Macaca fascicularis: one gene and its partners. The protein of the gene in region 5 purifies or fractionates together with the protein of the main gene of each other region. This does not show direct contact. Links are inferred from orthologs where the notes say so. Each region holds a gene or a part of one and is shown on either strand. Other genes may lie near its edges.

Region 1 (4,427 bases), on a different chromosome or scaffold from region 5:
GGAACAATTTAAAACTGTGCAAAATCAGTTGGGATTCCCGTAGCTTCCCGCTGAATACTGGTAGGAATTACTGGGTCAGCACTGAATTGTCTTTGTCATATTTTGAAATCCAAGTTTAAATATATCATTTTTATTGGTTACAGGTGGAAAACCTATTGAAAATATACAAGACTCCGTTTATAAAGAGAATCGTCTTTACATGTCCATTAATTTTTTCCTATCCCTGTTATGACATACAGCTTAGTAAATAAATTTGCCTTTTGAGAAGAGTAGTCGAAAGGCCTGTTTTCTTTTTTTTTTTCCACTTATACTAAAGATTAAAAGCCAGACTACAGCCTTTCCCCTGCACCTGAGAGACAGAACAAAGTGTTACTGTTGTCTAGGGGTTACAAACCTGCAGGTTTTGGGGGATAGAAAGGCTTTCCTGGGCCACCAGCTGTGATGAGGATTTAATTATGTCTTCTCTCAGGTCTGTCCACAAGCAGTCCCTACTTTTGTAAGAAGGCTCCACTGAAATCACGGCAATAGAACCCAACATTCTGCAGATCCCGCTTAACAATTTCTCATTGCTTTTTCTTGTAAGACTGTAATGAACTACTGATAAGACACAGGGTAAACACAGCACGAAAATCTGGCCCCAAAGTGCCGCCAACAGACAGACCTTTGGCGGTGGGGAGCCACGGTCGGCAAGCCAGGCCCCGCGGGCGACTCTTCATTCCCTCCGGCCTGGGGCGTATGGGCGGGGGTCAGGGGAGCCTTTCCCCCTTCACTTTCGGCGCGGGTGAGGTGGTCGGGGCTGCCAGCGTAGGTCTGGCCTAGGGCGGCACCCGGACCGCGGGGCACCGGGCCGGCAGCCGCTCCCCAAGCGCACTCCTCGCGGAGGCCATTATTTCCAGCAGTGCCAAAGTCTGAGCCTTCTTCGGAGGGCAGAGGTAGAGGGCCGTGTACCGCCTCCCGGCTACGCGACCTGTACCAGGCCCTGTGGGGTCCCGGGACCCCTGGAGCGCGCGCGGGACGGCCGGAGCCGCGGTCTGGGCACATCCCAGAGCTCCCAGGCAGGCAAAGGCCGTCCTTGGCATCTTCGCCCGCCGCTCGCGCCCGCCGCGGGCGCTGCCGGACCTCGCCCTTCCCCACCACTCCCCTCCCCCTCCAAAGCCTGCCGTGGTTCCCGAGGTGACACGGCCCGGACCCTCCATTCTCTGCCCCAGTGTATTTAACCAGCACAACCTAACAGGAAGCTCCCTCTCGGTGACAACCCTTCCCCCGACAGACGCGCCCAGCAGCCAACCACCGGCCAGAATTGGCCTGCGTCCCGCTCCCCTCTCGGTGGCGGCCTCGGTGGGCGGGGCTCGGGCAGCTAGCAAGTTAAGTGGAGCCACGGCTGACGTGAGTCAACAAAGGTCACGTGAGTCGTGCGGGCCGCGCCGATTGGTGGCGCCAGTCGGGCGGGGAGGGGGGGTCACGGCGGCGGCGTGGGGTTCGCTGTGTGACACAATTACAACAACTTTGTGCTGGTGCCGGGGAAGTTTGTGTCTCCAACGAATCCCCCCAGTGCTCCCCAGCCCTGCGCGCTCCGGCCGTTCCCGCCGTCCCCGCCCGTGGCTGCCCCTTGCCCAACCCCGCGATGTGACCCTACAGCCGAAAGCCGCCGCTGCCGACCCGGGGGCTTCGCAGCCCCTGCCGCCGCCGCCTTCACCGCCGCCGCGTTGGGATTTTTCGTCGCCGCCGCCCGCGGCGGAGGAGGAGGCGGCGATAAAGTTGGTGTGCTGGTCCCGCGCGCAGATTGGGGGCGTCATTGCGGGCCCCGGTCCGAGGGGGGGTGTCGGCGTTGGAGTTGTGAATTCGCTGCGTTTCCATGAAATCCTGCGGAGTGTCGCTCGCTACCGCCGCCGCTGCCGCCGCCGCTTTCGGTGATGAGGAAAAGAAAATGGCGGCGGGAAAAGCGAGCGGCGAGAGCGAGGAGGCGTCCCCCAGCCTGACAGCCGAGGAGAGGGAGGCGCTCGGCGGACTGGACAGGTACGGGCCGCCGTCACTCGCCCGGTCGGCTCCGGACGGGCAGTAGCCGCTCTCCCGGGAGGCCCGAGCGCGGCTTGTCTCTGGCGGCGGCGGGGCGGGCACCTCGGTTTGGCGCTCTTCGCGCCGCCTCCGCCGGGGCCTCGGGCTCGGGCAGGGACGGGTCGGTGGCGTTCCCGGAGCGTTAACGAGTAGCCTGTGTCTCTCCCCACAGCCGCCTCTTCGGGTTCGTGAGGTTTCATGAAGATGGCGCCAGGACGAAGGCCCTACTGGGCAAGGTAAGGCAGCTGCGAGTCGGAGCGCGGACACCGTCTCCCCGGCCGGCGCCGCGCTCGCCCCGGGCCCCGCGGCCGGGTCTGCGCTCATTGTGGCCGCGGACGATGGTCGAGGGGCTTCCGGAAAACTATTTCCTGCCTCTGCTCTCCCCCCACCCACGGGTACCCAGCTTGCTCCCTTGCTAAATTGCTCTTTTCCTCTTGTAGCTGGAGGAACAGAGACGGGATCGCTTTGGGGCCGGGCTCAACTGGGTCGACAAAACTGCCTGCTATTTTACAGCTTTTTGGGGATAGGCCGATGATCTTCGACGTGCATGTTTAGAGTCAAGGGATCGTGAATGTGTTCAGATTTCCCCCAATTCCGGACTTCACTTGCCTCTCACGGGTTTAAAGAAATTCTTTTCCTTCAAGCAGGCTGTTCGTGATGCCTACTGCTAACCAAATGTTTTAGGCTTTCTTGTGTCCCCGCTCCCAGAAGGGGGAAGTTTCACGGAGTTTAGGTCGGTGAAGAGTTTGCATTGGGCTGTTGACATGTATCTCGATCGCAATGTGTGTTACCTGAAGTTAGGTGACTTGTTTACTTTTTGGGTCTTTTTGGCATAGAAATACCGTAGTTATTTGTAAATGTGTTCTCTTCCTGGAGCCTCATTTCCTGCGTGTCTGACAGGGGAGACTGGGGAGGAATCGGGGTGTAGTCTCTGTTTATTTGTGTGGAAAGTTGTTGGCACTGTCATTTAGTTAAGTAATGGCTGCTCCTATCGGCCCAAGATGGCGGGACAGGGTGGGAGGAGAAAGTGAAGGGGGGGGGGTTTGGGGGAGGGAGTAGAGGTAAACATGGAAATAAATAGTAGCCGTGAATAAGCCTTTCCTTCGGAGTGTGTAGCTCAGTGGTGTTTAAAAAAAAATTACCCAAGATTATTTGCATATAGAATTCTTGTACCTTTCACAAGCTTGGAAGCAGCATGCATAAGCCTGGTAAATGCTTATCAACCTGTAGCACATTTAGTTACCCATCCTTAAGCTATTGAACAAAGGCTGGAGTCTCAGTCTCTAGGCATCAATTTATATTTCCTGACCAAAATCTGATTGCAATGATATTTGAATACTTTCTTCGTAATTGGGACCGTGAAAGTTGGAGTGTGTGCTATGGGTGTTGCATCCGTTAGACATTTTCTTTTCTAGCTGAAATCATAGCTTTGCATTTGACACCTAGCTTTATTGTTACAGTTGAGACGGAAGTTTGAAGTAAGTCCAACATTTTATTCTTAAGTTGATTTTTTTGTTGTTCTGAATTTTTGTCTGTAGCTTGGTTTAGCAGAGTCATCAATTCTTTTTTATCTGTAATTACAAATTTGTTTTTATTTCCAAGTAATTATAAGGAGTTTTATTGCATATAATGATCAGAAAACTAAATGGAAATAATGCTTTTCAGTAAGCCCGGCCCCTTTGACCGATACAGAAAACTTGAATTAAACTTTGACTACATAGGTATTAATTGGCTTCATTGCAATTATTGTTGTAAAAATGAACAGTGACTAGCTCTGGAAAGATTTAAGCGTCAGTAATTGTTGGTCTCCTGCCTTAAAAGTTTTTTTTCCCAATTTGAGTATTTAAAGTATTTTATTTAAAAATATTTGACTGCTGTCAAAGTTGTCATTACAAAAGATTAAACATGATTTAAATTCAAAGAGCATTATTTTGTTTTGGAGGGATTATTGCTGGTCTAACATGGATTGATAAAATTGCTTGCAAAGATAATTGACTTGGAAAAGTTTGGCCAAATCGATTGCTTTTGCTTATGGTGATGAAAAAATAAATGGAATCCGATGTTTTATGTTGAGAATGTGTAAAATGCTAGTTGATTTTATGTCTTAGAATGCTCATATTCAGATAGATTCACGGTGAATAGTGCTTAACATTGGATTTCAGATTGTAATATTAAACTCTGCAGTTATTATGCACTAACGAGTTTAAATTTTAAAAAATAACCATTTTCAAATATTTTTGGCAAGTTGTGCATTACTTGATGTTTGAATGCATGCTAAAAAAGAAAAACTAGTGAAGCTTCACTATGTTTGGGGGCTTCATGATATATGGGGTGATTTGATGAATGATTAAGTAGTTTGTTAAACTCAAGAA
Region 2 (4,302 bases), on a different chromosome or scaffold from region 5:
TGGCTAATTTTTTTTTGTATTTTTAGTAGAGATGGGGTTTCACCATTTTGGTCAGGCTGGCCTTGAACTCCTGACCTCAAATGATCTGCCCGCCTCAGCCTCCCAAAGTGTTGGGATTACAGGCATTAGCCACCGCTTTTTAAAGTTCCTACATCTGTGGCTGAATATGTCTTATTACTAGAAGCAGGGTTGATCATCAATTCTATTCCTATTTCTAATTGTTATAGTCATGTGCCCTGAGAAAACTTGTTCATATAAACAAGTACTGTGTCTGGGAATGGAAGAGCTTTGTTGTAACAATATCATTCATTTCTTGACCTCAAAAAAGAGGCTAAGAACATTAAAATGGGTTCTTATTCCATGGTTCCTGAGATCCCTGAAACTGTATACATTATTAGATTGATTCTCATGAAATTGTCTATAGCTGACCATTTTCAAGCAGAAAAACAGCGTTTTAATGTGTTATTTGTGCATTTTTCTCGAGAGAAGGTCCTAACTTTCATTAGATGATCAGCGCTACTGTGCTTCCCTCCTTCCCTCCAAAAACGGTTTTAATCCTTTACTTTGAAGGATCTGGCAGGGATATTATAGACACATACCAATAACATTTTGTGGGAATAGGATAATAAAAAAGTTGAGCCTTAGACATTGCAGCAGTACATTACAATTTTTAATTTGTATACATAATGATAACACACAGATTCATGGGTTTCCGAGAACAGCAAAGTAAAAATTCTATTTGTTGAATACGAATAACTACCTTTATTTGGTAACATTTACCTGGCCATGTCTAACCTTTTCCCACTAAATAACAAAAATAATAAAGGCAATAGGCATTATTTCTAAAAGGTAGTAGTGCATATTCCTGAAGACAAAAGTAAAAAAACCATACTTTCTAAATAGATGAACACTCCCAAGTGAATTGAATTCTCTGTGGTGCAAAACCTCCAATATCCTGAAAAAACACATTTTACACAGTGGGCCCAGTATGAGTCCTTATAAAGAAAGATGTACCAGGATATTCAAGAGAGTTTCCCCAGAAGAGATAGTGGAACTGTGTGTAGTTTACCTGAAAGATTTAGAAGAATCTGCGGATGTTGTAAACATGCATTTCTCAAAGAAACAAGGCTCCTCACAACAACTAAACATACTATGAGAAAACCCTCGGCCGGCGCGGTGGCTCACGCCTATTGGGCGAATCACGAGGTCAGGAGATGGAGACCATCCTGGCCAACATGGTGAAACCTCATTTCTACTGAAAATACAAAAATTAGTGGGGCGTGGTGGCGCACGCTTGTAATCCCAGCTACTTGGGAGGCTGAGACAGGAGAGTCGCTTGAACCCGGGAGGCGGAGGTTGCAGTGAGCCGAGATCGCGCCACTGCATTCCAGTCTGGCGACAGAACGAGACTCCGTCTCAAAAAAAAAAAAGAAAGAAAAAAGAAAAAAAAAGGAAACCCTCATTTCATCAAAACTCCTATCCAATGGACCCAACCAGATTTAACAAGCAGACAAAAGCAACCCCTGCAAACCAGTTAATTTTCCAACATGCTTTCTGCTTCCAGAAATCTAGACTCTACTGTGGTTTTCCCACCACCTCACTGACTGCCCTTTCCTGGTGTCTTTGGCTAATTCTTTGCCAATCCAGCTAAGTTTACTTGTTCCTGCTAATTTCCCTTTCACTCTGACATTTGGTACAAAATCCCTTCCCCTTTCCAGCCCCTCGTTTTGGACAGGGAACCTCGTTGCTGACCTTTCCCTTCTCTACATTACTCTCCTGAATCTGCTCTTTCCTGTCCTTTCTCCACTTCAGTATCTGCTGTCACCTCTCCTGCATCTTTTCTCCACTGCATGACTCGGTTCTCTCTACCCCACCTTCCTGTCCCTTCTTACCTTAGAATGGTGACATGGCCTAAGTTACCTAAATCAGGTAGTCACTGCTAGAAACCATACTAAAGTCCTGTCTCAGGTTTGCCTCCTTATCTTGGCGCTCCCAGCCCCACGATGTCCAGCAAAGCATATTGCATATAACTTGATTCAATTACCATTTTGTGATTTCTCCAAAGGATAAAGGTTCATGGCCCTTACCGCCCAGAAACCTTCAAGAAAGAAGGCAAACATAACTTCGATACAAAGTAAAATCATCAGATATGAGAATGAATACAAAACTAGCCACTGTTAGCGCTACTATTTCCAAACCAGTTCCTGTAAGAACAATGCCTTAGTCTTGCTCACCAGACCGGCGTAATCACTGCGCCGAAACCGTGACTGGCACGTAGTAGGCACTTAAACACTAGTCGGTAAAACGAACCAATGGACATGCTAACGAATGAACACGCTGTGCTTTACACAGCGTGTGGCACACAGCTGCAGCTCCAAGAGGAAGCCACTGCAAAAGAAGCGCGCCCTTGGGTCCTCCCCTTCCCTCGCAGACCCCCAAACCCGGCGGCTCCGAACCTTGGTGTCCACGTCGGCCAGGCAGTCTCTGCGGAACTGGTCGAAGAGCCCTTGGCTCTTGAGGTGGTTCACGATCATGGCCACGAGCTGCGGGTCCCCGGCGCCCGCACCCGCGCCGCCCGCCCCGCCCGCGCCGGGGCCAGCCCCGGGGCCCGGCGGCGGCGGCGGTGGCTGCGGCTGCGGCGGGGGAGGCGGCGGCGCTGGAGGAGGCGGCTGCGGCTGTGGGTTGGTGGCCATGGCGGCCTGTGCCGGGGAGGGCAAGGGCCCTGACCGGCGGGCGCACCTGGGAGGCGGCGGCTGCACTGGTCCCGCCGCCTGAGAGAAGCCAACGGGATGTTGTTACGGAACCAGAGGATCCAGAGCAACCCCGGAAGTAAAAGGGAACGGGGGGAAAGGAGGAAAAGACGGTGACGACATTGACGAAAGTCCGGCGACGGAGGCCGCGAGGAGCCAGTTTCGGCCGTCGCCGGGCGCGAGCGCCCTCGCGAGGCCGAGGTGCGCCGGAAGTGGCGGCGACTGTGGCGACGGAGACGAGAAGGCTGTGCTGGCCGCGAGTTGTGGGGTTTGGGTCACTGGCTGGGGTCTGGAGTCCCCGGAGGTTAGGGCTTCGACCCGCGCGACACCTGGGGCCCTCGGTCTGAGCGGGAGCAGTGAAGTTCTGGCCCCGCTTCATCCGCGACGGCATTTTAGGCCTGCCTCTCTTGCTCCTGTTTCCCGGAGCAGTGCATAGAGATCCATAGACATGTATAATTCGAACCCTACGTGGATCTGCTCATTCTAAACTCGCCCAACCCTCGTCGTTCTTAGCCTGTGAAATTGCACTATTCTTGTCCCAGCAGGTAGCTCCACGGTCCTTCTGTCTCTCTTCTGCTTGCACATCCCGTTTTCCCTTGGGAGTCCCTTGTTTCTGGCAGTGTGCCTGTGGATTAGTCCGGATCCCTCCAGCCCCTTCTTCCTATGTGTGAAGACAAACCGACAGGCTTTTGGTTTTAGGCTTTTTGCTATTGATTACTATGATTATAGCCGGTAAAACATCCATAGCACATATTACGTACCAAGCGTGGCGTTAAGTGCTTTTACATGTATTAACTCATTTAATCTTTGGACAAACACTAAGAGCTAGGTCCGATTACTATCCCCAATTTGCAAATCAGGGAACCAAGGCCCGGATAAATGAAGTGTGTTGAATAAGGTTACACAGCTAGCAAATCACCTGCTTTAGGACTGCATCATCCTTGAAATTGTTAGTAGTACCTGGTCAAAGCAACATAAATATTAGAAAATTTCATAATTATTAAATAGTATATGTAATTTTATTGAAAAATGCATATTGCTGTTTTTAAGAGTTCCTACATCTGTGGCTGAATATGTCTTATTAGTAGGAGAAAAAAGGTTGAGCATCAATTCTATTCCTATTTGTAATTTTTATAGCTGTGTGCCCTGAGAAACCTTGCTAATATAAACAAGTACTGTGCCTAGGAATGGAAGAGTTTTGTTGTAGCAATATCATTCAATTCTTGACCTCAAAAAATTGGTTGACTTCAAAAAATATGAGCTGACTTCAATTAGGCCCTCCTTCCTTTTTATCAGAAGCAAAGAACCGAAAACCACCTGACTCGCCAAAGGATTTGTTTACTTAATCCTTATTTTTTCACTTTTTCAGATTCTGGGAAATATACCAGATAGGTTTTACCAAGATACCAAATGACTATGAATTCGACCTGATTTTTTCAATGAGATGTACCTTTCACCCGATATGCTGAAAGAGTGGAGAATATCTAAACATTGTTCATTTCATAAATAGTTTTGGATAAGATTTATTTTTGTTATCAGGTGGTTAAATTTT
Region 3 (4,273 bases), on a different chromosome or scaffold from region 5:
TATAAAATACATGCAGCAAAACTGATAAATTCAAGTGTATGTGTTTGTGTGTGGTCTAGAACATTAATTGAATTCATGAGAAGCCTTAATTGTGAGTTGTGTTTTAGGCTGTGTGCCAGGCACTTAGGTTAAAATGGTAAACAATCAAATGTGGTCTACACCCTCAAAAGGCCTGCAGTTTACTGGGAGAGACAAACATTGACCCAGTAATTATGCAAATCACTAGAAGCCTAGATTCAAAAGAAAAGAAAAAAAATATAGAAACCTAGATTCAAAACTTAGAATCAAGATGTACAAGGAAGTGTGATTTCAGGTCTGTCTCAATTCTAATATAAACTCTCCTGCACTCTGGGCAAGTCCTTCCCTTCCTCTGGATGTTAGTATCTTCTTCTGTAAAAATGGTGTCATACCATTTGCTTCTGAGGAAATCTCGCCCATTTGTCAGAATTCAGCCAAGGCAACATCACCTTCATGGTGCTTTCCCTGGCTCTCCAGGCTGTTCCTGGGGCTTCTGCTCTGGTCTTCTTGCCACCTGGGTGTACCTGTCTCACCACATCTCATGTTACAAGTTTTCTAAGCAAGGAGTAAGCTCATCAAGACTTTTATCCCTGTATCCCCAGTGCATTGTGGTGTCTGGCTCGTGTTTGTTAAATGGATGGATGGATGGATGGATGGCAAGTACAATTGTGGTGCAGGTTGTGCGAATATCATTATGAAACCTGAAGGGACAATTTGCTGGCTGATTGTCTCAGCTGAAATAATGGGACAGTATGAGCATTATTATATAGGTTTTGAAGCCTGAAGATTTCTAGTTCTGATTCTTTGTGGTGCTTTCTTGGGCGGATGGGCCTCTTTCTGCTTGTCTGTAGCTGCATTCGTAATTACACTACCTTACAGGGCTGTAGAGTTTTGAAAACTGCAAAATGTTATTTACAGTCAACTGAACTGAACTTAGCAGGAACCTTATCTCTCGGCGGAGGATGGAGATTAGAAGCAGGGGAAGACAATTCCACGGAAGGAGTGGTGGGTTGCGCTGGGCCTTTCCAGACGAGATGCAAAGGTCTGGGAGTCAGAAAACATTGGTTAGTAACCAATTGCAGTTTAAGCTCTGAACCTCAGTTCTTCTATTTCCAAAACGGAAATAATAACTTGAGCTTCGCGTAAGAGTATGACGTTCAAACGTGATAATGGATAGGACGGAAGGATTAGGAGTGGTACCCGGGGGCCACTACCTCGTGCAACGCCCCAGCCCGAAATCAAATCCGGGGCGTGGTCCCACTGTGCTACCGACCCCAGCCTGGGCAGGAAGCGCCGGCTGCGGGGGAAGCCAACCCAGAGACACAGCCGGAAGTGAGTGACTGGAGCTCCAGCAGCAGCCGCGATGGGCGCAGCCGTGAGCCTATGGAGAGCGGAGGCGTTCCCGCTTCCACCAATGGAAGGCCAACCTAGGCGGGCCTTTGCAAATTGCCCTAGTAACGGCCGCATGGTAACTCGGGCGCTGGGCGCACTGTCCTATCTGCTGGTTTTCCACGCTGGTTTTAGCTCCCGGCGTCCGCAAAATGAAAATTGAGGAGGTGAAGAGCACCACGAAAACGCAGCGCATCGCTTCCCACAGCCACGTGAAAGGGCTGGGGCTGGACGAGAGCGGCTTGGCCAAGCAGGCGGCCTCAGGGCTCGTGGGCCAGGAGAACGCGCGAGAGGTGTGGCCAGCGGACCAGGGAGTTGGGGGCTCCGAGCAGGGCTGCTGCGGCGAGAGAGCTGCTGAAGTCGGTGGCTCGGGTCGGGATGCGCGCGCCAGGGGTCTCCCGCCATAGTTGCCTCAGGGAAGTGAAAATAGGCCAGGGGCTCGGGGAGGGGCGCCGCCCTGGAGCTGGGTGAGGGGCCGCCCCAGGAAAACTAGTGACCACCCACTGGGGCCAGTTGACGGTTTGCTTCAACTCATGGACAAGTACTAATGGAAACCCACACAACCCCGTCCCCTTAATCCATGCTGAGCTCTATTCGCGACACTTATTTCCCGGGATACAGCGGGAGATAAGATAGGAGGTTACATTTTAGTGTAGTGAGAGACGATAAACGTGTACATCAATAAACAAAAATGATTATCTTGGTGGGGTTAGTTACTGCAGAACTTTGTCGGCCACGGTAAGGAAATTGGATTTTATTGTGAACGCACTGGCAGGCCGTGGGACGGTTTAAAGTAGGGAATTGACTAAACTTTAAAAGCTCGTTTTGGTTCCCAGGACCCGGGAGCTGAGGGAGAGAAGTGGGAATTAGGGAGAAGAGCAATCTGGTTTATTTATCCCTCCAAGCATCCTTTTTGACCATTCCAATTAAATCTCCTTTTTCTGAGTGCTAGTGATGCCAAGTACTTTCACATACATTATTGGTTTTTGGCAGGTGAAAATATTGAGTTGGGGAGAGGGCACTTCACCATATACTTGACACTCGTTTTAGTAATGGTAAAGCGGGGATTTGCGCTCACATGTATTTCTGACTCCCAAATCAGTGCTCTATGATGACATAGCCACTCTCTCTGCCTGCTGTTGTCTGAGGTCACAGCCATGCCCCTTGGCCTTTGCAGAGCCTTAGCTTGTACAAAAATCTTCACTTAATACAAAGTTAAGCTACTGCCTCTTAGCCTGATTTTTCTAAATAGAAAGGGCTCAAAAGAAAAACCTCGGGTTTCCATTTTGAGCATCATCTTTCCAAAAAGGAAGTGTTTGACCCTGTCTTACTAAGCAGCTATTACTGCAAGTAGCTAACATTGGTTGAGTGCTTTCCATGTGCCAAGCACTGTGCTAAGTAGCTGTGTGTCCATTGCCTTGTCATATCCAACGAATTAGTTGTCCCTTCCCTGCGTTAGTATGACAGTTTTCAGACATACAAAAAAAGTTGAAAGACTTGTATAGTAAGTACCTGTGTACCTAAATTCTATGATTAACATTTTACTATGCTGCTTTATCATATATCTTTCCATGTGTGCCTCTCCCAATCCACTTTTACATTTCAAGGTGAATTGCAGGCATCACTACACTTCACCCCTACACCCTTTAACATGTGTGCCATTGACTAGTATGAACTCTGTTCAAGTGAGGAAATTCTGGTTCATAGAGGTCAAGTAAGTAGGTCCAAGGTTACTCATCTGGTAAGTGGGAGAGTATTTTAACTCAAGTCTATGTATTTAATCCCAGAGTCCATGCTCTTAACTGATGTTGTATGCTTAAGACCCACCTCAGCTACCAGGTTCTTGTGTGATTCTGGTCACATCAGTAACCTGAAAAATGAGAGTTAGACTAGGTGATCATTTAAAGACCCTTCCAATTCTTTTTAAATGTTAGAATTCAAGCTTATCTCACCTGAGAGAAGTTGGAGTGGAAACTGAGGGAGAATAGATGGAAGAGGTCCTGGTCTGTAAATAAAAGCACATATCCAAGGTTTGTAAAGTCTCTTCTACCTTGAGTTTTCCAAAGAGCTTCAGTGCTGAGGATTATATGACAAGGTTGTATGGAAAGATCATAGTAGGTTTTTTTGTTTTTGTTTTTGTTTTTGTTTGAGATGAAGTTTCGCTCTTGTTGCCCAGGCTGGAGTGCAATGGTGCGATCTCGGCTCACTGCCACCTCTGCCTCCCGGGTTCAAGTGATTCTCCTGCTTCAGCCTCGTGAGTAGCCATGATTACAGGCGCCCACCACCATGCTCGGCTAATTTTTGTATATTTAGTAGAGACAGGGTTTCACCTTGTTGACCAGGCTGGTCTTGAACTCCTGACCTCAGGTGATCCACCCGCCTCGGCCTCCAAAAGTGCTGGGATTACAGGCATGAGCCACCGCGCCTGGCTAGGCTTTTTATCTGTTTAGAAATATAGCATCTGGGCTGGGCGCAGTGGCTCACACCTGTAATCCCAGCACTTTGGGAGGCCAAGGCAAGTGGATCACCTGAGGTCAGGAGTTCGAGACCAGCCTGGCCATCATAACAAAATCCTGTCTCTACTAAAAATACAAAAATTAGCCAGGTATGGTGGCATGTGCCTGTAGTCTGAGCTACTCGTGAGGCTGAGGCAGGAGACTCACTTGATCCTGGGAGGCGGAGGTTGCAGTGAGCTGAGATTGCGCCATTGCACTGCAGCCTGGGTGACAGTGAGACTCCATCTGAAAAAGTAGCATCTGAAGAATATCTTCTAGGTTCTATTAAGGGCAGTGTGCTTTGGTAACTGAAGTGGAAATGGGATGGATATAGCATACACACACATATTCCTTACTTTTCTTTTTTTTTT
Region 4 (4,272 bases), on a different chromosome or scaffold from region 5:
CTTTATTTTCAAACCCAAGCTTCTCATAAACCAACCTGTCAGAAACAAATTGCATACAACTCTACCTCTTTTATCAGTAACTGATTTTTCAAAAATAGCTCATGTTGTGAGGCATTAGATTATCTTTAAAGCATGAGAAATTTGGTACCGACTTACTTTATGAGCAATTTTGATGAAATGACATTGATAAATGACCTCAGTTCTCAGATTATTAATTATAAGAACTCAACTGAAGAAAAATAGAAATAAAATCTTAATCCAAACCAATGGAATGATTCATTGGACTGCACTTGATAACCACTGCTTTGTTTCCAACATTTTGTGCAGGTAGATTTAGTAAGCTTTTTAAAAAAGGCACGAAGGCCTTCATCTACAAAAATTAGGGTAGTTTAAGAAAGCTCTGTATCTAATGTTTCCCAGCTTTCAAGTAGATCAGATAGAACTGGAATCTTAATATGATGCAAACATGACAATTCCCAATTTCTTTACCCCTGCTGTGTTGCTTTTTTTCATAAACCAAACTGCCTCTACCTGCAGAACTGGATCAAATTTCTTAGTCACTAAACTCCACCACAAAACCACCTCAAAAGGGACCTGACTCCCACCAACCATGAAAGAACAAGATACACTACAAAGTGAAAAACAGATGCTTTTATTTATTGTATTGTAAACAACTTAATAAAATTTGCATCTCTACATATGGGAAACTGCTTTGAGTAACTGGGAAAACAGCTATTGCATGGGAAAACATATGCAAACTAGCATCACTGTCTCTAGACTAGGTTCTTCTTATTGATCTCATGTCATCATAAGGCAGCAACAGCAGCTTCTAGAAAATGGAGAAACAGCAAAGTCCTGCAGTGGAGCTATAATTAAGGTTGAACCATACATTCCACTAATCCTGCAACTTTCCTACTATCATTTTTCTGCCTATACAATCCTGCTTCTTATAGGATGAACACCTAGCAAAACAATGTAAATTTGCTGAAAAACAAAACTATAAACAAATGAAAGAACTTAACAGAACACACAGCATTAGAGGGACTAGGAAGTGCAAGGTGTTAATATCCAGTACAAGTAATAAAGCCAAGAATTTTCTAATGCTGATCAGTCTGAACACTGAAATTAAGAATCAGTTCTTTTTACTTCTCTAGGAGTGATTCTAGCTCTTCTTGCAAAGAGCTGAGTTGCTCCTTTTCTCGGTCTTCCTTTTGTTTGAGCTCATCCAGTACAGCCTGAAATCTGTTCTTGAGAGCCAGATTTTCCACTTTCATGATGAGATCCTCTTGTCGTTTTGCCCTGTCCTGGGTCTCTTGGAGCTTGCCTTTCATGTTGTCAATCTGCTTCTGAATTCCCATAACCAGCTGATTGGTTCCCTCATTTTCCTGGTGCTGTTCATCTGATTCATTTAGCTTGTCCTGTAGTTGTCTCTCCAGATCTTCCTCAGTGTCAATGATGTTTATATCTTCTTCATCTTGATGCTGGGTCTCATCTTCATCCTCACTGCTGCTGCTGAGGTCATTGAATATCTCCCGAAGCTCATCATGTTCTAATGAGTCATGGCCCTGCCTGTGACCAGACATTCCTGGAGAAGAGATATCCAGGCCTTGATTTTCTGCCTCCTTTGTTTCATCTTCAGCAATTATTTCCCACCGAGTACTAACAGCTTCAGCATCTGTACTCAGCAATCGTTTCACTTCTTTTTCCACATCTGGAGATTCAATATATTTCTTCTTTGCTGTCTTCCGGAACCTTCTCTTCCTGACATTCTTCAGAGGCAGAGTAATTCCGTGGTTCCAGATAAACTTTTTCTCTTTGTCCTTATCCTTTTTCTTGCTTGCTTTAGGATCAGTGCTAGCAACTGGCTCCTCCACAGGTGGATAGAGATCACCATCAACTGTGGATACAAGCATCTGACAGATATCAGCTGTCTTGTAAAAGGTTTTCTTATCAATGGTTTTCAAGCTTTCCATAACACAGGGCAGGTCTACCAATTTTGAGGCCAATGGAACACGGTCCACTCTGACGATTCCATGACGCCCATCAGGATGTAACTCAATTGTCAGTCTGTCCTTGAGGTTGACATGACCAGACTGTACTGCTCTTCTCACAGTAGAGGCATATTCTGGAGGCAGACGTAAGATAAACTGGCTCTCCAGTTCGTGAGGAGCATCATCTTTGCTTTTACTCATTTTTATTTCTTTGTGACTCACTTCTCCAATAAATGATGGTTACCGTAAAAAGTTCCAGCTACTGCAATAATTTAAAACACCAGTTCGCTATGAATTGAAATATTTTAATTACAAGAAGTTCTCTGTAGATCAGCAGCTTAGCGTCTATTTTGCCTTCGTTTTTATTTAAGCTCCAAGTCTTTTCTCTAAATATGCTGTGACCAAATACCAGTCGTTAACACAAAGGCTTATTCACAGACTTAAGTTCATTAAATCAGATGCAATGCCAAGTCCCAACCTCTAGGTGCCGCTGCCCGACAACGCGGAGACAGCTACCTAGCTAGGAAGCAGGAAAGCAAATGGCGGCTCCCGCGGAACGGTTTTCGGCCCAGAAAGGCCAGCAGAGATACTCTCAATTTACAAACTCTCCCGGAACAGACACTCAAAACATCAGGGCTCAGTGAGCTCTCTTCGCCTCGGGTACTTACAATCCAGTGACGATTATAAGTTCAGTTTCACCGGGCCGGAGCGAAGGGAAGAGGAGGCCGCAAGGAGCAAAGCGGGAGGCAGCCAAGCGTCTCCTTGTCGTTTCCTTAATTCTTCCTGCCGCTTGGCAGAGTGATCCACTATCGATTACTGATGAAAGCCCAGGATGGGCAACGCGAAATCTTGCCGAGAGGCGCAGCTCGGAGAACCAGACCCGGCACCTCGCCGGCCCTCCGTTCGACCGCTTGCCCAGAGAAAACGGAAGTGCTACGTCACGACGCGGGGCGGGAGGTGGATGTGAGTGACAGCCCCTCCGGCCGGAAGGGCGGAGCCCCGGCGCGCGCAGGCGCAATAGCGCAATTACGCTGCCCAGCGTGAAACTCGTCTTTTCGCGAGAACTTGCTTTTCTAGGATGAAAATGATAGTGTTTTCGAAGAGCTGTTGGTTTCAAACTATTTAGCGCTTGGAAGTTACAAGAAAGACACGGATTCGTCCCCCGCTAAGCCAGCACTTTTAAGGGATCGCTGTGGGGCCGGATGGCTTCTAGACTTCCGGGTGATTCCGGGAGATGGGGGACGCCTGGCAGTAAGCGTCTTTGCTTCTGGAAACATCTCGGATGCTTCCTAGGGTCTAGCCAATCTGGTGCCAATACAAGAATGTGTAGCTACTATACAATGGATTTTAAAGAACCCAAATCAGTGGAGTGAGGAGGACATGGAGCTCACTATATAATTCTAAACCTCTCTTTGTTTGTTTGTTTGTTTGTTTTGGAAATGGAGTCTAGGCTGTCACCCAGGCTTGAGTGTAGTGGCACAATATTGGCTCACTGCAATCTGCACCTCCAGGGTTCAAGCGATTCTCCTGCCTCAGCCTCTTGAGTAGCTGGGATTACAGGCACCTTCCACTACCCCAGCTAAGTTTGGTATTTTTAGTAGAGAAGGGGTTTCACCATGTTGGCCAGGCTGGTCTCCAACTCCTGACCTGAGGTGATTTGCCTGTCTTGGCCTCCCAAAGTACTGGGATTATAGGTGTGAGCCACCGTGCCTGGCCCAAAGTCTATATTTTGTTTAATATAATTCCCTGTAGGGGAATTGTGCCTCTGGGTTTCCTTCTGTTCTGTAATACTCCTGAGGAAACAAGGGTGATTCCTTTTTATATGCTTGATTTAGATGTAAATGTAAGCAGAGAAGGAAGTGTTCTTCTGCAAGCACAGGTTCATTTTGGACAGAATTGTCTGATAGACTGAGCATCTGGTTAAAGTAGACATAATTGAAGTATTGTTTCCTGCTTCTCATGTACAAGTAATTTTAAATACTTTGACTTTTTTTTTAACTCCACCTCTACTATTTTGCTGTTTTGTGCTTGTCTTTTCTTTGGAGGGTCAGGTATTCATCAACACATATTTTTAGTATTTTGACATAACTGGGTAACAGTTGGTACTTATTTCTATTTATTTCCATTTATTTTTAAAATATCTGGTAGAGCATCAAGGCCATTAACATTTAATTTCTATCCTCTAAAATATTACCAATTGCCCCTAAATTTAAGAGAATTCTCTTAAGATGTAATTAACATTTCCAAAATTCACTTTATTCCTGTATGATTGAAAGCTCCA
Region 5 (3,678 bases):
AACATGGTGAAACCCTGTCTCTACTAAAGATACAAAAATTGCCGGGCGCGGTGGCTCAAGCCTGTAATCCCAGCACTTTGGGAGGCCGAGACGGGTGGATCACGAGGTCAGGAGATCGAGACCATCCTGGCGAACACGGTGAAACCCCGTCTCTACTAAAAAATACAAAAAACTAGTCGGGAGAGATGGCGGGCGCCTGTAGTCCCAGTTACTTGGGAGGCTGAGGCAGGAGAACGGCGTAAACCCGGGAGGCGGAGCTTGCAGTGAGCTGAGATCCGGCCACTGCACTCCAGCCCGGGCGACAGAGCGAGACTCCGTCTCAAAAAAAAAAAAAAACAAAAACAAAAATTAGTCAGTCGTGGTAGTGGGCACCTGTAATCCTAGCTATTTGGGAGGCTGAGGCAGGAGAATCACTTGAACCCAGGAGGCAGAGGTTGCGGTGAGCCAAGATCGCACCACTGCACTCCAGCCTGGGCAACAGAGTGAGACTCCATCTCAAAAAAAAAAAAAAAGAAAAAACAAAGCCCCCACAAACCTCTCTGCAGTGGAGACGGCTACAGAGCAGCAGCTGTGGTGCAGTACCAGTTACTTAAAGGACAGCAGTGAGCTACGCTGGAAAAGACGCACCTAAAACAGCAAAGTAGAAGACCACAGAGGGACCGACTCCACCTCCCAGCAGCTGACCCCAGGGGTGACTCAGGGAATTCATTTTCTACTTCCTACATTTGCTCACCTTTGTAGTTTTTTTTTTTTTTTAAGACATGGGGTCCCACTCTGTCACCCAGGCTGGAGTGCAGTGGTACCATCTTGCTCACCAGAGCCTCAAACTCCTGAGCCCAAGCAATCCTCCCACCCTGTCCTCCCAAGTAGCTGGGACCACACGTGCACACCACCACGTCTGGCTAATTTTTTGCTTTTTGTATAGAGACAGGGTCTCACTCTGTTGTCCAGGCTGGTCTCAAACCCCTGGTCTCACGGGATCCTCCTGCCTCAGCCACCCAAAGTGCTGGAATTACAGGTGGGAGCCATGGCACCCAACCTGTTTTTGTTTTTGTCTTTTTATGAGCAAACTACTTTCGTAGGAAAAAGACTTTTAAAATCCTGCCTATCACCTGCGAGTCCCACCTGCACTATCTTTGGCCTCTAGGATGCTCATGGAATTCTTTCTTCCAACTCAAAGGCCACCAGCGAACCCCTTTCTCAGGTTACTTCACAAGTGTTCATTTGTCAGCCCAGTCTGAAAGTCAGTTCTGCTGACTGTGACCCAAGGTGCCCTGAAGGGCAGGGGACTGGCACCAAGGGGCTGGGCCCACGAGCACACAGCCACAAGCACAGGGCCACATGATGACATTCCCACAGCAAACAGCCTCCCTGCAGCGGTGACACTGGGCCTGCGAGGGCCTTGTGGCCCGGTTATGTGCGGGGCTCAGACACCGCACCCCGCCCTGGCCTGACACACTACCCATCCAGCCAGTACCAGGGCTTCGCCTGCCATCTCACTCGGGCAAAGCCTTGCAAGGGTAAAAATGCTTAAACCCATTCACCACCAAGACAACAGAAAATGAATGCCACACTGGCGGGCAGCATGGCACAAACGCTGCATCCACCTTTCCTTCCGCTTCTCAACGAAGGGCAGGCTTCGCCGAGAAACTGCCTCATGCACTTTGTTAACAGAAGAACCTTCTGGCCACTCTGAAATGGAGCGGTTTGTGATACTGCATACACTTTAACTCTCGGCCATTTGTTCTTGTTTTCTTCTTTTTAGACGGAGTTTCGCTCTTGTTGCCCAGGCTGGAGTGCAGTGGCACGATCTCGGCTCACTGCAACCTCTGCCTCCCAGGTTCAAGCGAGTCTCCTGCCTCAGTCTCCCCAGGAGCTGGGATTACAGGCGCTCACTACCACGCCCAGTTAATTTTCATAGTTTTAGTAGAGACGGGGTTTCACCATGTCGGTCGGGCTGGTCTCAAACTTCTGACCTCAAGTGATCCACCCACCTCGGCCTCCTAAAGTGCTAAGATTACAGGTGTGAGCCACCATGCTCGGCCTCTCGGTCATTTGTTGTGCACAGTGGTACAGCAACAGCAGAATGGCAGGATGTGTTCCTTTGCAAAGCCTGTTCTCCAGAGAGCTCCAGCTTCCAACTGTTCCCACCAGGACTGGGCCATCCCCGCCCAGAGCTAACTCCACTCAAAACTCACACTTCACCTACACTCCCACTCCCAGCACCCTTCTCAGCCTGGCCGCCCTTCCTGTCCCATGCATCAGTTCAGGGTACACTACCCTCTGAACGCCTGTGGCCACTGCCCACCCCTCATCCAGCCTGCACGAAAGGCCCCTTGGTGCTCACCACAGGGCACCCCACTGACACCTCACCACCCCCTTGCCATCCCTCTACTGCACACAGGACTCATCTCTCAGGTCCCAGCCTCCAACCTGAATGCTCTAGACTGTGGCATGACAGCAGGAATCAGATAGGCACAGGCAACGTCCAGGCTTACGCCCCTCGGGGAGACAGCTGGCCACATCCAGCATCAGAGGCACGTAGTGCCGGACACCACCCCGTCTGTGTCAGCAGGACTTACGGCCGAGACTGGATCCGAGTGAGCTGGCAAAGTCTTGAGGCACTTCCCTGTTTTCACATCCCATATCCTCACACTTTCATCAAACTGAACACAAAAGAAGAAATGACAGTGATTCTACAGGAAGGAGAAGGAGCAAACCTCCCCAGAACCCAAGACCTGCCACCAGTCCATCCTCCCCACAAACAGCACAGAAAGGACTCGGGCCCCACCTGCCTTCTCCACAGTGGCTACAAGCAAGTTCAACAGCCTTCCCAACATCCAACACCACCTCCCCCAGGGAAGACACCCCGGCCACACTCACGGATCCTGAGACAATAAGGTTGGACTGGGGATTGAAGTTACAGCAAAAGACATAATTACTGTGTCCCTTCAGGGTTTTCAAACACTTCCCCTAAAACAAGAGTATTAGTAGTATTACTCCAGTGCTTATTTCCCCAAACATAAGTGTCGGATCACATTCATCAATGCCTGACAGCTCAGAGCATGCCTGATGCCCCGCCAGCAACTGGCTGTTCCCCGAAGTCAACTCGACCTCCCCCACCTGCCCCCGCCCCATGCCCCTGCAGCCAGTCTTCCCTGGAGAGGAGCACTGAGTGCTGCTTACCGAGCAGTCAACCCAGTCCCCACCACCCGCCCTGTGCCCCGCTGCCGGTCTCCCCTGGAGAGGAGCGCTGAGTGTTGCTTACCGAGCTCACGTCCCATATCTTCAAGGTTTTGTCATCTGAGGCGGAAACAAGAAGGTTAGAATCTGACGACCAGGCTACATCGGATATTCCCTTGGGGAGAAAAAACAGGGTCAGTAACTTGCCAGGACAAAGTAGGACCGGTTAGCAAAAGGTCAAAATCCCAAACATCCCCATTGCCCTCAGGAAATCTTCTCACTAGCCTTAACCTTACAAAAGACACGCGGCCCTGGAGGAAAACAGCAGGCTTTCCGCAGCTCTGCCAGCCTCACAGACACTCCTCCGTGGGAAGTCAAATGTATTTGCGTTAAAAGTTCAAGATGCAAATAACTCTAAAAAAACAACGTGGAAATTTAAACCTGAACCCACAGCTCTCGAAGCAGCCCTGACCCCTTGATCACTAGGAGCCACCC
Region 6 (3,186 bases), on a different chromosome or scaffold from region 5:
AAATGGCAAAAAATAAGAGTTAAATCCAGAGAAATCAGAAAATAGGTTTGTGGATTGGGCAGGGTGGCTCACGTCTGTAATCTCAGGACTTTGGGAGGCCAAGGTGAGTGGACTGCTTTGAACTCAGGAATTTGAGACCAGCCTGGCCAATATGGCAAAACCCCATCTTTACCAAAACTACAAAAATTAGCCAGGTATGGTGACACACGCCTATAATCCCAGCTACTCTGGAGACTGAGGTAGGAGGATTACTTGAGCCCAGGAAGTTGAGGCTGCAGTGAGCTGTGACTGCACCACTACACTCCAGGCTGGGTGGCAGAGCGAGACTATGTCTCAAAAAAATAAATAAGAAGATATGTTTGTGAAGGGCTTGGGAGAATGGGGCTGTGAGGATAGAAAGGTGTGTCCTTCAAAGGCTCCCACCTGGGCCTGTCATGGGTAGGATACTAGACTATGGAGAGGACTGGGGTGTGGGGAATACAGGCTCTGTGGCCAGGCAAGGCCATGAGGAGACAAGGCTGAGAGAACGTCAGGGAGGCAAAGTTGAGGGCAGCAATCTCAGGAAAAGTTCATGCCAGGCCAGGGGAGGAAAGTCTCAGCCAGAAGAACAAAAGAGCCCAGTCATGATGGGGGAAGGTGGCCCCAAAGGGCCAGGGAGAGGAAGGAGGGGGTCTCACCTGCATGGATAGCATCTTGCTGGTGCAGGTGCAGGTGCGAGTGGATGTGGGAGTGCTGGTGGTGATGGGGAGTCACATTGAGCATCTGCAGCCGGGCCAGCGGGTCATTGCCCAGGGCCGCCACCCTTTCTGCGTGCTGCCTCTCAGCTGCCAGCCGCTCAGCATAGGACATGTCAGGCCGCAGGGCTGGCCCAGCTGCCAGTGCTAGACGTTCTCGATCCAGGGGCCCCAGGCTCGGATGAAAGGGGAAAGGGTGCAGGCCAGGTGGGCCAGGCTGCAGAGCCAGGCCCCCATGTCGGGGAAAGGGATCCAAGCCCGGCCCAGGGACCCCATGTAGGGGTTCCAGCTCACTAGGCTTCACCTCGAAGCCAGGCTTGAGGCGGTCACGGAGGTCTCGTTCACGGGCTTCCCGTTCCCTCTCCCGGGCAGCAGGATCACTGCTGTACAGGGCCGGGACATTGTAACCCAGGAGCCCCGGGTCCACTGCCCCCAGGGGCACGTAGAATGGATGGTTGCGATTGCCAGGAGACATGACATGAGGCCGGGCATATTCACTGAGAGTGCGCAAGGCTGGAGTGTCAGGACCCAGGTAGGGGGGCACTGTAGCCACCGCACTGCCCGGTTCAAATGGAGGGCGATGGGGCACTGGGCCCAGAGATGGGCATTCCACCGGAGCACGGCCCTCCTGAGCCAACTTCTGTGGGGTACAGGGAAAAGTGGAGTCAAAGCGGCAGTTATGAGAAGAGGTGGCTGGTTTCAAGCTGCCCATTTGTTTCCACAGCTGAATGCCAAAATGCCTCACCTCACTGAAACTCTGCCCACCTGGAACTTAACTGCGACCCCCCCCCCGAATATCTGCCCTTCTTGGGATCCACAGGTAGTCCCATCTGAGCAGGCCTTCTCCCAACCCAGGAATGCAGACTGCTGTCGCTGAAATCCTTTTTGGCTCCATTTCCTGGGCTGCAGTGGTACCTCCCCTCCGACAGGTGGCGACTTGATTCGCCCGCCCACCTAGCACAAGCCCCAGCCCCAGCCCCAGCCCCAGCCCCAGCCCCAGCCCCAAGCCCAGCCCCAAGCCCAGCCCCAGCCCCAGCCCCAGCCCCAGCCCCAGCCCCGCAGCGCGGCTAAGAGAGGAGGCAAAGAAGGCGGTGGCGCAGGCAGTGACGCACTCACCACGCTGCGTTCAAGCTCGCGCTCCTTCTCGCGCTCGCGCTCCTTCTCGCGTTCCCGCTCGCGCTCCCGCTCCTTTTCTTCGCGCGCGCGCTGCTCCGCCTCGCGCCGCACCTTCTCCACCAGGTCGGCCCGCTTCTTGGCCAGTTTGGAGCCCTCCAGTGGCACGAAGTACAGGTCGCTGCGCGCGCACGAGTTGAAGCCGCGATCCAGGTGTTTGTTGAACCTGCCAAGCGTGGAAGCAGCACGCGCTCAGCCGGTGCGAGATGCCGGATGGAGCCCGCGGAGCCGCGACCCCGGCGAGTGCTTGTAGCCCCCGCCTAAAAACCACCCCTGCAGGCTGAGCTGCTGCCGGCCTCACTGGCCGCTAGGCATGGACGGAGGAGAGGGGCGTGCTTTTCTAAAACACTACACCAGCACAGGGCCCCTCCCTGCTACTCCCTCTCCGTCGCCGCCTTGTCGTCCCCCTTCCAGGCCCACCTCCGCCCCACCTGGCCGCTCACCTGGCAGACTGACTGGCATGGCTGGGCACATCTACCACCTTGGGAGGGGGCGAGGGGCTGCGGGCTGGCGGAACTGGGCTCTCGGGGGTCTCATACTCCTCAGCCGGCTCCTGCTTGATCTGCGTGGCGCTCAGGGGCGGCCCTGAGGCAGGGGCCGCGGGTGGTGGTGGCAGAGATGGCAGGCCTGAGGGCCCCGCAGGTGGCAGGGGCCCAGGTCCCACGGTGGGCGAGCCCGGCTTGAAGGTCCCTGGGCCTGCAGGTGGCGAGGTTCCTCTATAGCCCGGTGGGGTCCCCGTTCGGAAGTTGGGAGGAGACCCGGGCTTGTATCCGGGTGGGGTGGCTGCCTTGTAGGCCCCCGGGGACGGGGCTCTCTTTCCGTACGGTGGGGGCCCAGGTGGGGAGGCCGTTTTGTAGCCTGCTGGCGAGGAAGCCACGGTGGCAATGACCGTGGAAAGGGTAGCCGAAGAGGTGGTGACCGTAGGCACCGGTGGGAAAGGGTAGGGCGTCCCCTGAGGTCCCTGGGAGGGGGAGGGGTGTGAACATGGGAAGGACGCTTGAGAAGTGGAAGAGGAAGAGTTGGAAGAGGAAGAGACTGGAGGGCCATTGGGGCCTGCTTGGCTGTAGGACACCTGGCTGTGAGGTGGGGGCAGGTGTGTTGGCCCTGGTGGGTAGGGCCTCAGAGACCCCAGGGAGGGAGACATGGCATAAGGGTGTGCGTGGTGGGAGCTGCCGCCCTCCAGGGGGTGGGGAAATGCTCCAGGAGGGGGCCCAGAGCTTCCGTGATGCTGCTGCTGCTGCTGCTGCTGCTGTTGCTGGTGGTGATGGTGATGTGTTGA
Region 7 (4,471 bases), on a different chromosome or scaffold from region 5:
TTAGGAGTACATTCCATTCTTTCATGGCTGAACTTTAATCTAGAAATACATATTCCCCACAAACTTTCTCGTTTCTCCAGAATTAACATCTTTCTCACCAAACAAGTGTTTCTACTATACCAGCATGCTGGATGATCTATGAAGTTTATACTGTATATCACGTTTACTGACTCGAAAAGATCACACTGTCCTATCATGATGTATTTATTAATTTCTCACACTCCTATTTTGAATTCCTGAGATTACCTGTCAGGATTTAAAAAATAAAACAGGCTTAGTGCAGCAGCTCATGCTTGTAATCCCAGCACTACAGAGGCTGAGAAGGGAGGATCACATGAGGCCGGGAGGATCACGTGAGGCCAGGAGCTCAAGACCAGCCTGGGCAACATAGTGAGACCCTGTCTCTACCGAAAAAAAAGAAAAGAAAAAAAAAAGATTTTTAATTATTTGGTTGTGGTGGCATATGCCGGCAATCCCAAGCACTCTGGGAGGCTAAGGCGGGAGGATTACTTGAGCCCAGGTGTTCCAGGCTGCAGTGAGATATGACAGCACTGCAGCACTTCAGCCTGTGCTACACATGGTCTCTTAAAAAAATAACACAAAAACATTGTTTCTCCCCCAAACTGGTAACATTTTGTTCTTTAAATAATTATACTTTAGAGCTTTCCAAGTCTCAAGGGGTGATGCGGGAGGAAACAAGATTTTTTGAGAGACCATAAAAAAATCTGTGTGATGTCTGAACACTGCCATAAAGGGAAAAATAAGCCCTCAAAACTTGTGAATACCAACATTTAAAACAATGGGGCTATGTTAAATGAACTCAAATTCTTTCCTACTTAAACTGTACAAACAAGCTATAACTACCAACTTACAAATTGTGTTTCTGAATCTGTACCTAAGAAGCTTATTTTCCCTCTTAAATGTGTAACTTCTTTTGTTTTTTCTCTTTGCTCAATCATCTGGGCATTCAGAATATGTAACTTATTTCTGACCCAGCACAAATGACCCACTTATGGCTTCAACTTTCTGAAAGTCGGTTGTTTTTAGAAAAATGATCATTCTTTAGCCAGTCTACCTACCACTGATGTAGTTCCATCTCCAACTTCTTTGTCTTGCAGATCAGCCAGCTCACAAAGAACTTTAGCTGCAGGATGTTCAACTTCCAGTAACTTGAGGATGGTTGCACCATCGTTAGTAATGGTCACATCCTAAGAAATTAGCAGGAAAAAATATGAACCACTCATAGAAATCAACACAGCCCCATTATAATACACATCCACCTTTAATATCACCTTCCAGTACCTGGATTCTGATAAAATCAAAGAATGAACACAGCAAAACACTGAAAATAGTTTTACTTTAAGGCAACTAACACAACAGTTAACGTGTACTTACACCGATATCATCCACCAGCATTTTATCCAAGCCAACAGGACCAAGAGAACTTTTTACAATATTGGCAATCGAAGCTGCAGCCATAACTGTAGACAATTAAAAACACAAATAAAAAAGAAATAAGAATCCACAACTCTGAAAGACAGTAATTTCAGCCTAAAGGTAAATGACATCCAACAGCCCCTGTATTTCCCAAATGTACAAATCTGCGTTATTTAAAAACCACCTACTAGGAACCTAAATGGGGCGGACACTGTGGCTCACAACTGTAATCCCAACACTGAGATGCTGAGGCAGGACAGCTTGATGCCAGGAGTTCGAGACCCCCTTGGGCAACACAGCGAAACCCATTTCTACAAAAAATAAAAACAAAGCCGATGTGGTGGCGCGGGCCTGTGCTTGGAGACTGCAGTGAGCTATGCTGGCACTCCCGTCTGGGCGACAAGTGGGACCCTGTCCCTAAATAAAGCGAGCCTATTTGGCACAGCTTTGATGAGGGGGTGGAATCTGATGGCGGGAGAAAAAAAGTAATAACCACAATTTCATGTTCTGCCACTTCGTACAGCTATGCCTTTTCCTTCAGATCCTGCAAGTTTTTTGCTCATTAGAACCCTTTTTATCTGTGAGGAGAGAAATCGGTAGCCAACGGGGAAGGTACTTTGATTTGTTTACGAAAAAAAATTACGAATCTATCAAAAAACAGTGCGCTCTGTAGGTATACAAAGGCCCGACAGCAAACGCTCTGCTAAGTTGGCGCTGCCGTCTCCCGGGGTCAACTGCACTCCAGTGGCGTTTCCTGTGCTAACTCTACTTTAAGATGCTATCAACTGAGAGAGAGCCGGACGCCGGGCGCCCGACCCCGACTGCAGCTACGGGCGGAAAGGGCACCGGGCTCATCCGCAGGGGCGCGGATGAACCTACTTTTTCTGGTAAATGGTCCTGAAACGAAACCCGGCGTTTAACATGGACGCTCAAGGGGCCGCCCTGAAACAAAAGAGGATGCGAGGCGTGGCCCGCACGTGCAAGTCCGGGAGGCCCGCGGAGGGGCGCGTTTCCAGCGCCGCCCCGGACACCACATCCACGCGGTGCCGGTCTCAAAACCTGCTGCGCGCTCCGGGGCTCCTCCCCGCTGTGGGGAGAGGGGTCGACAGCGCCCTGCCCCAGAGAACGGCGGGTGGGCCGGGTCCGGCTGCGGGGCCTCGAGGCCCTTTCTGCAGAGGTAAAGGAGAAGAGGCACGAAGCGGTCAGCCGGGGTCCGGTCGCGATGGGACTCGGCCCTCCCAGCCCGCCAGCCCGACCCAGGCCCGGCCCTCCCTTACCGTTCTGGGAGCGGATCGCTTCCCCAGTGCTGCGGTCACCGAACACGGACAAAGGCCCCTCCATCTTCGCGGCAGCGATACACGTTGAATTCTGCTCACAACGCGGGCAACCAGTATCGCGGTCCCTCGGCTGACCGGCGACCACAGCAGTGGCTGCGACGGCGTGGAGGGTACCCGAGCGATGCCCCAGGAGCTGCTGGGTAACACCGCCCTACCCGCTTCCCGGCTGCCCCGGCCCGGCCGCGGGGCACGGCGGGAAGGAAAAAGAGGCGGGGGCAACAGGAAGAGAAACGGGAGCGTGCCGGAAGTGAGGCTCTAGGGAAGGGGCGGGATCAGCATTTTTATCCAATTAGATAGCCGATGGGAAGGGCGCGAAAGCGGAGAACGGAAGTCGGATCTTGGACTGCTGGAAAGAGGCGGAACCTTCGGTGCAAACAACCTTGCGCAGACGCAGTGGGCCATTCTAGTGCCTTCTAGAAAGGTTGTAGGCGGGTGGAGCTTGGAGCTGGGGTGTAACTGGAGGGGCGGGCCCTTCTCCAAGGTAGAATTGAGGTTCTGAGCGAGTCTTGCGTTTTAGCTTTAATGTCTTTTCCTCGTCCCTGCTCGGGGAGCGTAAGGCAAATCGGCCGGCTTTGCTCCAGGCCTCAGGAGTATAAGTTTAGGGGCGCGAACCTGGGTGGGACGGGGCAGTTTTTCCAGCGGGCCATACGGGAAAATTTTTGGTTCGAGGAAGACAACTACCCTTTTTAAAGCGAAAACTGCACCGTGCCCTGCCTCATTTCTACGCGGTGCCCAGTAGGGGTGTGTATGGACCAGTCAATGACCGCCCAAGATCTCTTAGTAGACAACTCAAATACGGTTAGGTGAAGTTGTGGGTGCTTTTGACCCTGGACTTCAGCAAAAAGCGTGGTCGTGGGCGTAGCCACGAGGTGATTGGTGGGTTCCAGGGCCTGCGTGCCCCTCCACGTGAGCGGTGATTGGCGTTGTCGGATAACAGAGCCTCCTCCTGGCCACTCAGTGGCGGAGGACTTTCTACTTCCGGGTCGGGGGCGTCTGGCGTGGAGAGTTTGGGGATCTACAGCAACCAAAGGCTCTGACTTCGTATGATTGCGGCAGGCGAGCGAGTGAGTCGTGCGTGAGGAAAAAGAGGCAAGGCTTTTCCGAGATCGTCTCAGCGATGGCGCTTCGGTCGCGGTTCTGGGGGTTCTCCGTTTGCAGGAACCCTGGTAATTAGTCTTGGCCCCCTTCGCCCAGCTGATTGGCCAGGGTCTGCACAGTACTTTGGAACGTGCGGATTCTATTGGTATATTCGACGTGCCAGGTCGAAATAAGAGTTCGCAGCACTGCGAACACCTCAGTAGGAAGTTAAGGACGGGGTCAGTGCTGATTCCACCCTGTGGGCACACGTATTTTTCGTCCCCTGGGCCTGAAGACTGGGGGTGTGAAAGGGGATAGACGTTAGAGCGAGTTCGTGCGCTGTCCGTATCCGTCATTTTTAAGCCCCGTGCGGTTGTTTCCGTTGCCCAGGGTGCAGGTTCGCAGCCCTCTCAACCAGCTCCAAGCCGGCGGCGAAGCCTGAAGTGCACCCTGTGGAAAATGAAGCTGTCGCCCCAGAGTTCACCAATCGGAACCCCCGGAACCTGGAGCTTCTATCTGTAGCCAGGAAAGAGCGGGGCTGGCGGACGGTGTGGCCCTCCCGTGAGTTCTGGCACAGGTAATTAAATCTGCTTGTGATTGACAGAGAAGGACACTGCACC

Evidence for each region.
Region 1: the proteins of WDR5 (region 5) and KDM6A purify together in Homo sapiens (affinity purification with mass spectrometry; 7 studies listed by BioGRID and IntAct, counting the BioPlex papers as one, with this or other methods). This does not show direct contact. The link is inferred for Macaca fascicularis from reciprocal best matches to the Homo sapiens genes WDR5 and KDM6A.
Region 2: the proteins of WDR5 (region 5) and BOD1L1 purify together in Homo sapiens (affinity purification with mass spectrometry; 4 studies listed by BioGRID and IntAct, counting the BioPlex papers as one, with this or other methods). This does not show direct contact. The link is inferred for Macaca fascicularis from reciprocal best matches to the Homo sapiens genes WDR5 and BOD1L1.
Region 3: the proteins of WDR5 (region 5) and RUVBL1 purify together in Homo sapiens (affinity purification with mass spectrometry; 3 studies listed by BioGRID and IntAct, with this or other methods). This does not show direct contact. The link is inferred for Macaca fascicularis from reciprocal best matches to the Homo sapiens genes WDR5 and RUVBL1.
Region 4: the proteins of WDR5 (region 5) and TAF7 purify together in Homo sapiens (affinity purification with western blotting; 3 studies listed by BioGRID and IntAct, with this or other methods). This does not show direct contact. The link is inferred for Macaca fascicularis from reciprocal best matches to the Homo sapiens genes WDR5 and TAF7.
Region 6: the proteins of WDR5 (region 5) and ATN1 purify together in Homo sapiens (affinity purification with mass spectrometry; 4 studies listed by BioGRID and IntAct, counting the BioPlex papers as one, with this or other methods). This does not show direct contact. The link is inferred for Macaca fascicularis from reciprocal best matches to the Homo sapiens genes WDR5 and ATN1.
Region 7: the proteins of WDR5 (region 5) and TCP1 purify together in Homo sapiens (affinity purification with mass spectrometry; 3 studies listed by BioGRID and IntAct, with this or other methods). This does not show direct contact. The link is inferred for Macaca fascicularis from reciprocal best matches to the Homo sapiens genes WDR5 and TCP1.

The regions. Positions count from the first base shown.
Region 1 is NC_088395.1:44,930,688-44,935,114, forward strand, and holds the start of KDM6A (lysine-specific demethylase 6A), read left to right. Parts: upstream 1-1,508; 5' UTR 1,509-1,855; coding exon 1,856-2,016; intron 2,017-2,227; coding exon 2,228-2,291; intron 2,292-4,427. UniProt on the Homo sapiens protein: Histone demethylase that specifically demethylates 'Lys-27' of histone H3, thereby playing a central role in histone code. Demethylates trimethylated and dimethylated but not monomethylated H3 'Lys-27'.
Region 2 is NC_088379.1:12,793,702-12,798,003, forward strand, and holds the start of BOD1L1 (biorientation of chromosomes in cell division protein 1-like 1), read right to left. Parts: upstream 2,832-4,302; 5' UTR 2,694-2,831; coding exon 2,457-2,693; intron 1,443-2,456; exon of another isoform or gene 1-1,442. UniProt on the Homo sapiens protein: Component of the fork protection machinery required to protect stalled/damaged replication forks from uncontrolled DNA2-dependent resection.
Region 3 is NC_088376.1:155,323,066-155,327,338, forward strand, and holds the start of RUVBL1 (ruvB-like 1), read left to right. Parts: upstream 1-1,451; 5' UTR 1,452-1,559; coding exon 1,560-1,700; intron 1,701-4,273. UniProt on the Homo sapiens protein: Possesses single-stranded DNA-stimulated ATPase and ATP-dependent DNA helicase (3' to 5') activity; hexamerization is thought to be critical for ATP hydrolysis and adjacent subunits in the ring-like structure contribute to the ATPase activity.
Region 4 is NC_088380.1:147,784,425-147,788,696, forward strand, and holds TAF7 (transcription initiation factor TFIID subunit 7), read right to left. Parts: upstream 2,924-4,272; 5' UTR 2,193-2,923; coding exon 1,143-2,192; 3' UTR 637-1,142; downstream 1-636. UniProt on the Homo sapiens protein: The TFIID basal transcription factor complex plays a major role in the initiation of RNA polymerase II (Pol II)-dependent transcription.
Region 5 is NC_088389.1:5,230,572-5,234,249, forward strand, and holds part of WDR5 (WD repeat-containing protein 5), read right to left. Parts: intron 3,359-3,678; coding exon 3,269-3,358; intron 2,974-3,268; coding exon 2,884-2,973; intron 2,667-2,883; coding exon 2,583-2,666; intron 1-2,582.
Region 6 is NC_088385.1:7,874,145-7,877,330, reverse strand, and holds part of ATN1 (atrophin-1), read right to left. Parts: coding exon 2,351-3,186; intron 2,074-2,350; coding exon 1,851-2,073; intron 1,375-1,850; coding exon 678-1,374; intron 1-677. UniProt on the Homo sapiens protein: Transcriptional corepressor. Recruits NR2E1 to repress transcription. Promotes vascular smooth cell (VSMC) migration and orientation. Corepressor of MTG8 transcriptional repression.
Region 7 is NC_088378.1:11,200,736-11,205,206, reverse strand, and holds the start of TCP1 (T-complex protein 1 subunit alpha), read right to left. Parts: upstream 2,969-4,471; 5' UTR 2,779-2,968; coding exon 2,715-2,778; intron 1,482-2,714; coding exon 1,396-1,481; intron 1,209-1,395; coding exon 1,080-1,208; intron 1-1,079. Other genes in the region: MRPL18 (large ribosomal subunit protein uL18m), read left to right, coding at 3,892-3,940, 4,242-4,428. UniProt on the Homo sapiens protein: Component of the chaperonin-containing T-complex (TRiC), a molecular chaperone complex that assists the folding of actin, tubulin and other proteins upon ATP hydrolysis.